Linked DNA regions of Rattus norvegicus. The protein of the gene in region 3 interacts with the protein of the main gene of each other region in a pairwise test. Links are inferred from orthologs where the notes say so. Each region holds a gene or a part of one and is shown on either strand. Other genes may lie near its edges. The genes, in order: Atox1, Mob3c and Fam118a.

Region 1 (2,925 bases), on a different chromosome or scaffold from region 3:
CCCCATCTTAAAAAATGAAAACCACGAACAATCAAAAATAAACAAACTAAGAACTAGGCCTGTCATCACACTACACAGGAAGCTAAGACAGGAAAGTGACAAGCTCAGACCTCCCTGGACTTTAGAGTGAGTTTGCAGAATTCAGAGCTACTCTGGATAGCTTAGTGAGACCTCCTCAAAATAAAAAGTATCAAGAAACCTGGGGATGAATGAAGCTCAGTGACAGAGTGACAGAGCTGGGTGTGTCTGATGCCCTATGTACCAGTAACACACACACACACACACACACACACACACACACACACACACACACACACACACACAAAGACTAGGGAGCCCCAAGGCTCCAATGGTAGGATAGGCACGTGAGACCCAGTACCACATTAAGAGAGAGACAGAGACAGAGAGAGCACAAGCATTAGATACTCAGTGAGAAAGAGTGAGTTTATTTTGCCCTCTGACCATCACACACACACTCACACACGCACACACACTCACACACACACTCTCGCACACTCACACACACACTCACACACACTCACACACACACACTCACACACACTCACTCACACACATGCTCATTTTCCTCACTCACATGTACTCTCACTTATGCTCACTGACACACTATCTACCCTCCTTACACTCACATTCATCCCCCCATACGCTCACACACATACACACGCTTGTATACAGATTCTTTTCACACACTTGTTAACACACACTCACCTATGCTCTTATTAAAATATAATAAAATTTTGAAAAGAAATAAAAGGGATTGGAGATGAGAGCACTCACTGCCCCTGCAGAGGAGCTGGACTCTGATCTCAGCACCATACAGTGGTTCACAGCCCAGGGAACCGACGCTCTCTTCTGACCTCCATGGGCACTGCACCCGTGCGGTACACAGATATACGTGCAAGAAAGCACTCATATACATAAAAATAAGTAAATTGGGGGCAGAGAGGATGCCTCAATGGTTAAAGGTATGCACTTCTCTTTTTTTTTTTTTCTTTTTTTTCGGAGCTGGGGACCGAACCCAGGGCCTTGCGCTCGCTAGGCAAGCGCTCTACCGCTGAGCTAAATCCCCAACCCCGGTATGCACTTATCTTGTAGAGGACCTAGCACCCACATCTTGTGGCTCATACCCACTTAAAACTCCAGACCCTACACCTCTGGCCTTCAGGGACACCTCTACTCATGAACATACCCACACGCAGGCCCAAACATATACATAATTTTTTTAATGTTTTAAATAAGATTATAAAGAAAGGGAAGGAAGGCTCTGTGTTACTAAATTGGGAGGTTGGCGTGGGCATAGAAAAGTGAAGTAACAGTGATGGTAGGACTGGGGAAGTGGGGAGGAGGGAAAGAGAGGAAGGAGGGAAGAAAATTCACCTGTGGGGCTGAGGAAAGAGCTTAGGAGTGGAGTGCTCGACTGGGACTTGAAGCCTTGGATTCAAGCCCCATCCCCACAACTCCTTACACATGGATCAGAGCCTGCAGCAGAGCCTGCCATGCTCACGGTACCTAAAACAGAAAGAGCTTGCTGCTCCCTGGCTCCTGGAGAAGCCTGGTGTTTCAGGAATAATTTAGGAGGTTGACCTCTTTGTTCCAGTGAGTGGAGGGGTCCCGCTTCCCCCTCCTACATCCCTCCTTCTCCCTGCAGGAGTGGAGTTCAACATTGACTTGCCCAACAAGAAGGTCTGCATTGAGTCTGAGCACAGCTCAGACATCCTGCTGGCAACTCTCAACAAAACAGGAAAAGCGGTCTCCTACCTTGGCCCCAAGTAGCCAGGACCTGGGCGAGTCCTTCCGGATAGAAACTGAAGAGGCAGGTGGGTGAAGTCCAAACCATTGTCAAACAAGCCCGTTGCTTCTTCTGGGATCCCTCTTCTGAAAGACTTGAGCCCAGAAGCAGTTCAGACTGTAATTTGAGATTTGAAATCTTTGCCTAAATTCACCCAGAGGGCATCTGTAATAGAAAAACCCCAAACCTTCTCATCATTGAGTTGGCATGCTCTAGTTTTAGAGCACAGTGCAACTGGGATTCCTGGATTTGAGGTGCTCAGACTAAGCTTGGGCTTCTGGAGTTAGGTAGGAGGGTGCCCTGATGTGTTCAGCCCACTGCCCCACTCTGGAAGGGTCCAAGCACATCATTGTCCAGTACAAACGAGAAGTTCGGAGGGCTTGAAGGCCTCCTGGGAGCAGACAGAGCTCCATGTTATGTTCCCAGAGTCCCATGGTACCTTGCTTGGTCAGCGTGACTTAAGTTTAAAGTGTGTGACCCTTCTGGAATGGTGAGCCTCTTACTTTGGTGAAGGGACAGTCCCTTCACAGGGACGCCTATGTTCCAAGCCTGTCACTCCCGTGCATGAGTTCATGTTCACCCTGCCTTTCCTTCCACTTGGAGCCGGACGTGGATCCAGCCCAGCCTCGTAGAGCCAATGGCCCGTCTAAGCTGTCTTCCTTCCACCTTATGGGTCCCAGGGAGGCAGGAAGTGGACCAGTGCCAGTGCCCTTCCATCAGGAAGCAGGACAGTTGCCTGCCCACCTAGCACTCCTCATTGTGTCCAGCACTCTTGCAGTGTGCCTGACACATGAGTTACTGTGGTCACTTTGGTGGTTTGTGTCCTCTTTGGGACTGAGAAACATGAAGCCTGGTGAGTGCAAGCGTCCTGACCAGAGCCCCACGGAGGTGGGTGGCAGAGGAGGGAAGGAGCCAGGCCGTCTGAGCAAATGTGTGAATGATAGTTACAGTAGCACTAACTCTATCAGTGACCCATGAGGGCCCCTGGCAGATGCCAGCCGTAATCGACTGCGGGTAGGAGGTTCCCCTTTGAGTAAAGCGTCCTCCATTTTTTTTTTCCTTTTTTTCAGAGCTGGGGACCGCACCCAGGGCCTTGCGCTTGCTAGGCAAGCGCTCTA
Region 2 (3,257 bases), on a different chromosome or scaffold from region 3:
GCCAAACTCTTTTTTTTTTCTTTTTTTCGGAGCTGGGGACCGAACCCAGGGCCTTGCGCTTACTAGGCAAGTGCTCTACCACTGAGCTAAATCCCCAACCCACAGCCAAACTCTTGCTCTGCCTGTCTGTGTCCTGTGCTGAAGAGGGGTAAAGACTGCCTGTGGGGAGGGGCAGAGTTTTGCCCCTAGGATTTTGATTCCTCTTCACTCATCTCCATCCCTAGGAGTTCCCTTCCCCAAGAACTTCCAGCAGGTCTGCACCAAGATCCTGACGAGACTCTTCCGAGTCTTTGTCCACGTCTACATCCACCACTTTGACAGCATCCTCAGCATGGGGGCGGAGGCACATGTCAACACCTGCTATAAGCACTTCTACTACTTCATCCAGGAGTTCAGCCTGGTGGACCAGAGGGAACTAGAGCCGCTGGTAAGGCCATGTCTCACTACCCTTCTCTGCCAGTGCTCTCTCTTGATCCCCAGATGGATATATGAGGGGAGACAACTTGTCTAACAGTGGATTCTGTACTCTTACAGAGAATTCATGGAGATGTCAGTGTTCATGGTTGCAGCTGAGGTTGGGGAGGGGTCAGACTCAGTAAACCCCGTGATTTGACAAGGAGTTGCCCGTCGGCAGGCTGAGGTCAAAGTAACCCTTCCTTACTTTGTGTCTCTACAGAGGGAGATGACAGAACGGATCTGTCACTGAGTCCAGATCTGGATGTTGTTGCCTCTCAGGTGGACCATCTGAACACAGCGCAGCTGGGAGAGGGGACCCTTAGGAGCCTGCTGGCAGAGAAATGTGAAGGCCTACTGAAGAGCAGGCACCCTCTCTAGACCCAACACCTCTGGACTTCTCAGAAGTCTGTCTGTGTGTCCCAGAATGCATGGAGAAGGGAGGACTTCAGGTGGGCAATAGAAGAAAAGGAGGAGTTTAGTCCCTCATATTAAGTCCAAGAGTAGGGTGAGGCAAACAGGTGTCTGTTCTGATACTTCATTTCCACCCTACCATGACGGGTCCCAGATCCATCGGGGAAGATGGATGTGGCCGAAGTGATGGCAAGAAAATGATAGAGTGAGTGCCTGTACCTGAGCATGCAGGTGTGTGTGTGTGTGTGTGTGTGTGTGTGTGTGTGTGTGTGTGTGAGAGAGAGAGAGAGAGAGAGAGAGAGAGAGAGAGATTGGTTGTGGGATTTGTCTGAGAGATCCAAGTCCTTCCAGACACATAGTAGGCCCTCATGATGGATGGATGGATGGATGGATGGATGGATGGATGGATGGATGGATGGATGGACAGGTTGACTGTAAGTCCATGACCATTATAGGAGTAATGACAGCTTAGTGACCCAACCCTGACCGTGTGTACAAGTGTACAAAATGTGTGTGTGGATGGAATTATACCTCTGAATCTTCTAGACTGCCATCTCCTACCAACATGAGTCCCTGGCATTTGAGTGGAGGTTAGACAATGCAGCTTTGCCCTGAGTTCATTAGATCTCTGACCTACCACCATGTGGCTGATTTGCTCAGCCAAGGATGTCTATGAATTGTCAATTCACTCATCTCTGCCTCCAGAAGGGCCTGCTATCATTAAGCCTCTGAGCCGGGCGGTGGTGGCTCACACCTTTATTCCCAGCACTTAGGAGGCAGAGGCAGGTTGGATCTCAGAGTTCGAGGCCAGCCTGATCTACAGAGTGAGTTCAAGGACAACCAGGGCTACATAGAGAAACCCTGTCTCAAAAACAAACAAAAAAGCCCAAATGGTAAGCCTCTCGAGGGTTGGGATTGATCCCTCAGGGTCCCATGGATTTTAAACTTGGACACAAGATACTTCGATCTCAAACCCAGAACCTACTGACATGACTTAAGGCCAGCACAAAATAGCCCTCCAGACCAGGAAGCCACTGGAACTTGAATTGGAGAATCCAGAGTCTTTTCTTCTATCTCAGGAACTGAGGATCATGTAGCTGATGGAGACCTTCCCATCCTAAAAACACCTGCCTCAGCCCAACCTCCTGATACATTCAAGGCTTCTTGAATTCCAAGCACATCTATCTGAGGGGCTGGGATCCTCACTCAGTAGCCATTACTCAGTATCTCCATGCTGAGCCTTATACACAGACTCACAGGTAGGGGGACTGGCAGAAATAGGTTTTGCCCTTTCAGAGCCTGTATCCCCAAAGGCCAGGATGGGAATAAGAAGTCACACAAGAATATTGTCACTGTCTCTCAGCTTGCATCAGAGGAAACTGAAACCCGTTAAAACTCCAAGGCTCTTCTTGACTTCTACTCTCAGGCCTTCTGATTGTGACACCAAGATGCACGTGCAAAGAGAAGTCGTCAGACACTCTCCGGGACACAACTGTTTCTGCTTTGAGTAACGATTTCTAGCCTGCTGCCAGGAAGCCCTGCCACACCCTGCGTTTGGCTAGAGTTGGATGCTGAGGCAAACCTCCAAAACCAGGCCCCTTCTTATGTCTGAGGAACTGCCTTGCCTTCCAGAGAGACAACTGGGGCTCTCTAGGGCAACAGGACCTGGAATGTCCCCAAGGGAAACATGCTGGCCTGCAGCCTTGGCAGTGTCTCAGAACTGAGGACAGTAGGAGATTCCCCCACGATGGGCTGCAGAATATATTCTGAAATCTAGGCTGTGAAAAGGGACCATAGGGGTGGGGAGGGAAATCTATTTTTGTGAAAGAGGAAAGATTTTGCTATTTTTTGGTAAAATAAAAGATACAAACTAAAGCAACCACTGGTGGGAAGCAGTGTTCTGGGTGCCACATGGGTCTTTGCGGATCACAGGAGAGACCACAAGTGGGACTAAGAAGGCATTCTGTCCTAAACTCCTAAACCATATGAGCGCAGTCATGACTGACTAGCTTCCCAGTGTGAGGACACCCAAATACTCCCAGGGCTCCAAATTGTAGACTAAGCTAAGTTAGAAGCTTGAGCAGGGGATGGGAGGACAGTGCAGGACTTTGCCTTCAAGGTACTCATTGGGAGGGGGAAATCTTTCCTTGTTTTGACACTGGCAATCCCAGTTCATATTCATGGTGGTTTGGAGGAACCGATGGCTAAAAACATAGTAGGAAATACAGCCACAACTCCAATCACAGAACAAGAAACCCCTTTCAGTCCAGAGCATCTTCCCCAGTAGACAGCTAGAAGTCACTGTCCCCAACCACAGCCTCCCAAGTAGGAGTTAAAAGCAGCTTGGTCCTGGAGATTTAACAAAGGTCCTCTTATATCTTCAAAAGAGC
Region 3 (3,657 bases):
CAGCATACTTCTAGCAAGGCCACACTTCCCAAGCCTCCCAAAACACCACCACCAGCAGCTGGAGATCGAATGTTCAAATGCCTAGGATTTAGGGGAGATCTCTTATTCAAACAACCAATTCCAACAACCAAACATTCTCACTATACAGCACAGCATGTAACTCACACTGAGTCTGTACTGAATGGGCTGTAAGAAAGATTTGATTGGAGAACGGGGGGCGGGGCACTGGGAGCATGTATTTGAAAGGCATGTCTTGTCCCTGGCCTCTTCTCTGTACTCTGCTCTGTCTTATTATGCATAGGAAGAGAGCCATGTGACCACCTGCTGAAACCTAGTGAGTCCTTTCGTTTTCTAAAGTATTTTGTCACTGTGATGGAAAGCCTCCTCAGGCTGACCCACTATCATAGAATCTACTTCCAGGAGCCAGCTTCTGAACCTGACTTTATTGGGCACTGGCCAGGGTTTCCCTGCAGAGCACTGCATGTTTTATCAACTGAGTTACTGCTGCTTTCAAAGATTCTGGGAATCATATCTAAACTACAGCAAAAATATCCTTTTATGCAGACACGGAAAGCAGAATATAGTTCTTCCCACTCCTGGACTGAGTCAAGACTCCCACCACTGACTCAGACTGGCACTAGCTGTCCCTACACTGCCACACTCTGTCTGTCTGGACACACTGGCCCAACAGGCAGCAATGTCAGGGCTGACTAGAGCTCCTGCTCACTGACTGGAACCCCTTTTAGCCTGACTGACTCAGGCAGTAGAGACACCTGGTTAATTTGCCCTCTGGAAGATGCTGGTAGCTGTTGAAACATCAATTTTACAAACTCAGCAAGAGTGTTCACACTTCAAAAAAGTATTAAAAGAAAAAATTATATAGAAGTTCACACACTGCTAACGAACAGGTTACCCTAGATTACTGGATCCTTTACTGATAGCATAATACAAATAGAACATTTCTCTTATTTCCTGTGACTCTTGGTTCTAGGGCAGAATTTATTCTCTGCTGTCAGCAGACAGTCCATGACTAGGCTGTGCTTCCCAGTGGAGGGGATGGACTTTTGTGCCTTTACCGTAGTGGGGACCATCTAAAGGTAGAGGTATCTGTCCTTTCTGTCCTATTTAATAAGGCAAATTATTGAATGTAAGGTACATTTTCATGGTGATGAATAGAACATGCAAGCAAAAATCAGGTGAGAAAAGTCAAGATCTGCTTTACCCAGTAAGGTGGTACTGTCTACTCGCTCAGCATCTGAGAAAAAAAAGAAATAGTCAGTGGAGTCACAGCTTGGAGTATTCATCCTCCCCAGGCCTAGAATGATTGGCAAAGACTACCCTGAGGCCATCCACTGATTTGGCCAGGCTTCTATGGATTGGATACCATGGATCCCTGCCTGTCTCTCTCCCTTCTTCACCTGGCAGGATAGATGCCAGAACTCACTGAGTGGCATGGGAAGCTGCTGGGACTATAGACACAGTGAGGCACACATCACAACAGCTAATGCCACTTTCAGCCAGTAGGCATCCTTGCCCATCAAGAGAGAAAAGAAACTCAGATGTCCTTCAAGACAGGCACAGATGAAAGCCTCAATGACTTTTTACTCTTCTGGTAGCTGCCCGGTCCCGGAAAAGGAGCATCAGTGGTTCAATTGCTTCCTCTAGGTACCCACACTCAATGGCTGGATGCTGGGCTCCCAGGGAGTCATGATTATGGACAAGAAAGAGCTGGGAGATCTCAGAAGAGGGAGGTCTTGGAAGATCCATGCCCACATCTGGTACCAAGACATCTTTGTACATGTTAGTCCAGGATCAAATCCTAACTTCAAAGTTCTGGCACACACAGGGCAAATGTTCACCCCTCTCGGCTGATATCTCTAAAATCACCTAAATAACACAAGCACCGAATTAAAAACTAAGGGCAGTGGAACTTGGTATGCAGGCTACTATTCCCAGCACATGGGAGGCAGAGGCAAACAGGTCTTTATGAGTTCCAGGCCAGCATGATCTACATAGTGAGTTCTAGGACAGTCAGAGATCCATAGTGAGACTCTTGCCTCAAAGAAGATAATAAAGTGTTATTGTTCATGGCATGGCTCTATGACATGAATTCTCTGTTCCCACTCCCAGTAAGAAACTGACTACTATCTTGTTACACAGCTACTCATGATTTAAATCATCTACTAATTATTAGCAGCTAAAGTATGGGAAACTCATGGTTGCTCTACTGTGTCTGTCTCTCACTGGTGCTAACCTCATTCCACCCCTGGTGAGCATCTAGGTTCCCTGTCACCACAAAAAGCCAGTCAATACAGAACTTTCCACGCTTGCTATCACTCATGTTTTATGACACTGAAGTCAAAGCCATTAATTCCCTTGTGTAAAAGTGACTCATCAGCATTTCTCACTATCTGGTCTTTCCTGGCAAAGCTGTGACACCCTCCCCCTCCCAAGAAAGGCCAAAGAGCAGAAATGAGATGCTTCACACCCCAGAGAGATGTGCAGTGAGAGGGAAAAAATGGAAGCCTCATAAACTTTCCAACACACTATCACAGTCAGTAACACTGATCTGATGGCTTTTCTTGGCTACAGTAACCTGTAATTCGGATCACTGTGTCCCACGTTTGAAGCAAGTTCTCAAGTTCTACTTACAGATTGTTACCTATACCAATCACTCCATTTTCTACTTTTAAACTCAGAAGGATTAAAAATTAACTAGATTGGTAAATCTTATAGAATACAAGGTGGAACAGCTAAAGGAAGAACCCATGATTTCTGCTTGGAAAGTAATGACAGAACTCCGCACCTGGACTTCGCTGTTTGCAGATCTGAGTGGCGAGGTCTTGCACATATCCTGGGAAAAGTTCAAAACAGTCCCCATAGGACACTACTTTAATTCCATGCAAAAGCATATCTGCCTGATGCTTAAAGAAATGGTCTTCATTTTCCTTGAGCACTACCATGTAGTGCTCTAAGTCCACCTTATTTGGCACAGAGTACAAGAAGAGCGCTTGGAATATCTGGTCACGCAGTGTCTCTCCGCAGCCCACGAACAGGAATGATTTGGTACGGTAGAGATTTTGCAGGACTTCCTGGAGAAAGCCAATAAACAGAGGACACTCCAGTGAAAATCATCAGCAGGATCTCACAATTAACATAAAGGCCCCTGTGTTCATTTATATCTTATCTTGTACCCACCAGGCTTCCCAAGAGCCATACTGAGGAGTACTAGGAAGACTAGGAGCTCTTGACATACTCAGATCAACCCCATGCAGTGATCTGTGTGCAACCCTTGGTGAAGCTAGGCTGAGATCCATCTCTCAGCTAGGAAAAGAAAGAGAACCAGGAGAGGCAATGTACTGGCCAACCTGGGCAGCATGAATGCACCTCACAGTGAAGTCAGCTTATGGTAGACCTATGGCTCGCCAAGTCAACTCCTAGATTTATATACAATCTTAAGCCATAAAAGAACGGGGTTGGGGATTTAGTTCAGTGGTAGAACGCTTGCCTAGGAAGCGCAAGGCCCTGGGTTCGGGCCCCAGCTCCGGAAGAAAAAAAAAAGACATAAAAGAACATTAAAATGTTCTCAGTTCCCCTTGGTGTGGTGGCACATATCTTTGATCCTGACACTAAGGGAGGCAGAAGCAGTTGGATCTC

What was found.
Region 1: the proteins of Fam118a (region 3) and Atox1 interact in binary tests that used the Homo sapiens proteins (3 or more experiments, as listed by UniProt). The two-hybrid records come from large-scale screens. The link is inferred for Rattus norvegicus from reciprocal best matches to the Homo sapiens genes FAM118A and ATOX1.
Region 2: the proteins of Fam118a (region 3) and Mob3c interact in binary tests that used the Homo sapiens proteins (3 or more experiments, as listed by UniProt). The link is inferred for Rattus norvegicus from reciprocal best matches to the Homo sapiens genes FAM118A and MOB3C.

The regions. Positions count from the first base shown.
Region 1 is NC_086028.1:40,067,653-40,070,577, reverse strand, and holds part of Atox1 (copper transport protein ATOX1), read left to right. Parts: intron 1-1,666; coding exon 1,667-1,791; 3' UTR 1,792-1,835; exon of another isoform or gene 1,836-2,925. UniProt on the Homo sapiens protein: Binds and deliver cytosolic copper to the copper ATPase proteins. May be important in cellular antioxidant defense.
Region 2 is NC_086023.1:134,549,272-134,552,528, forward strand, and holds the end of Mob3c (MOB kinase activator 3C), read left to right. Parts: intron 1-224; coding exon 225-427; intron 428-676; coding exon 677-706; 3' UTR 707-2,746; downstream 2,747-3,257. UniProt on the Homo sapiens protein: May regulate the activity of kinases.
Region 3 is NC_086025.1:118,049,216-118,052,872, reverse strand, and holds part of Fam118a (protein FAM118A), read right to left. Parts: intron 3,093-3,657; coding exon 2,807-3,092; coding exon of another isoform or gene 2,754-2,806; exon of another isoform or gene 1,256-2,753; coding exon 1,223-1,255; exon of another isoform or gene 1-1,222.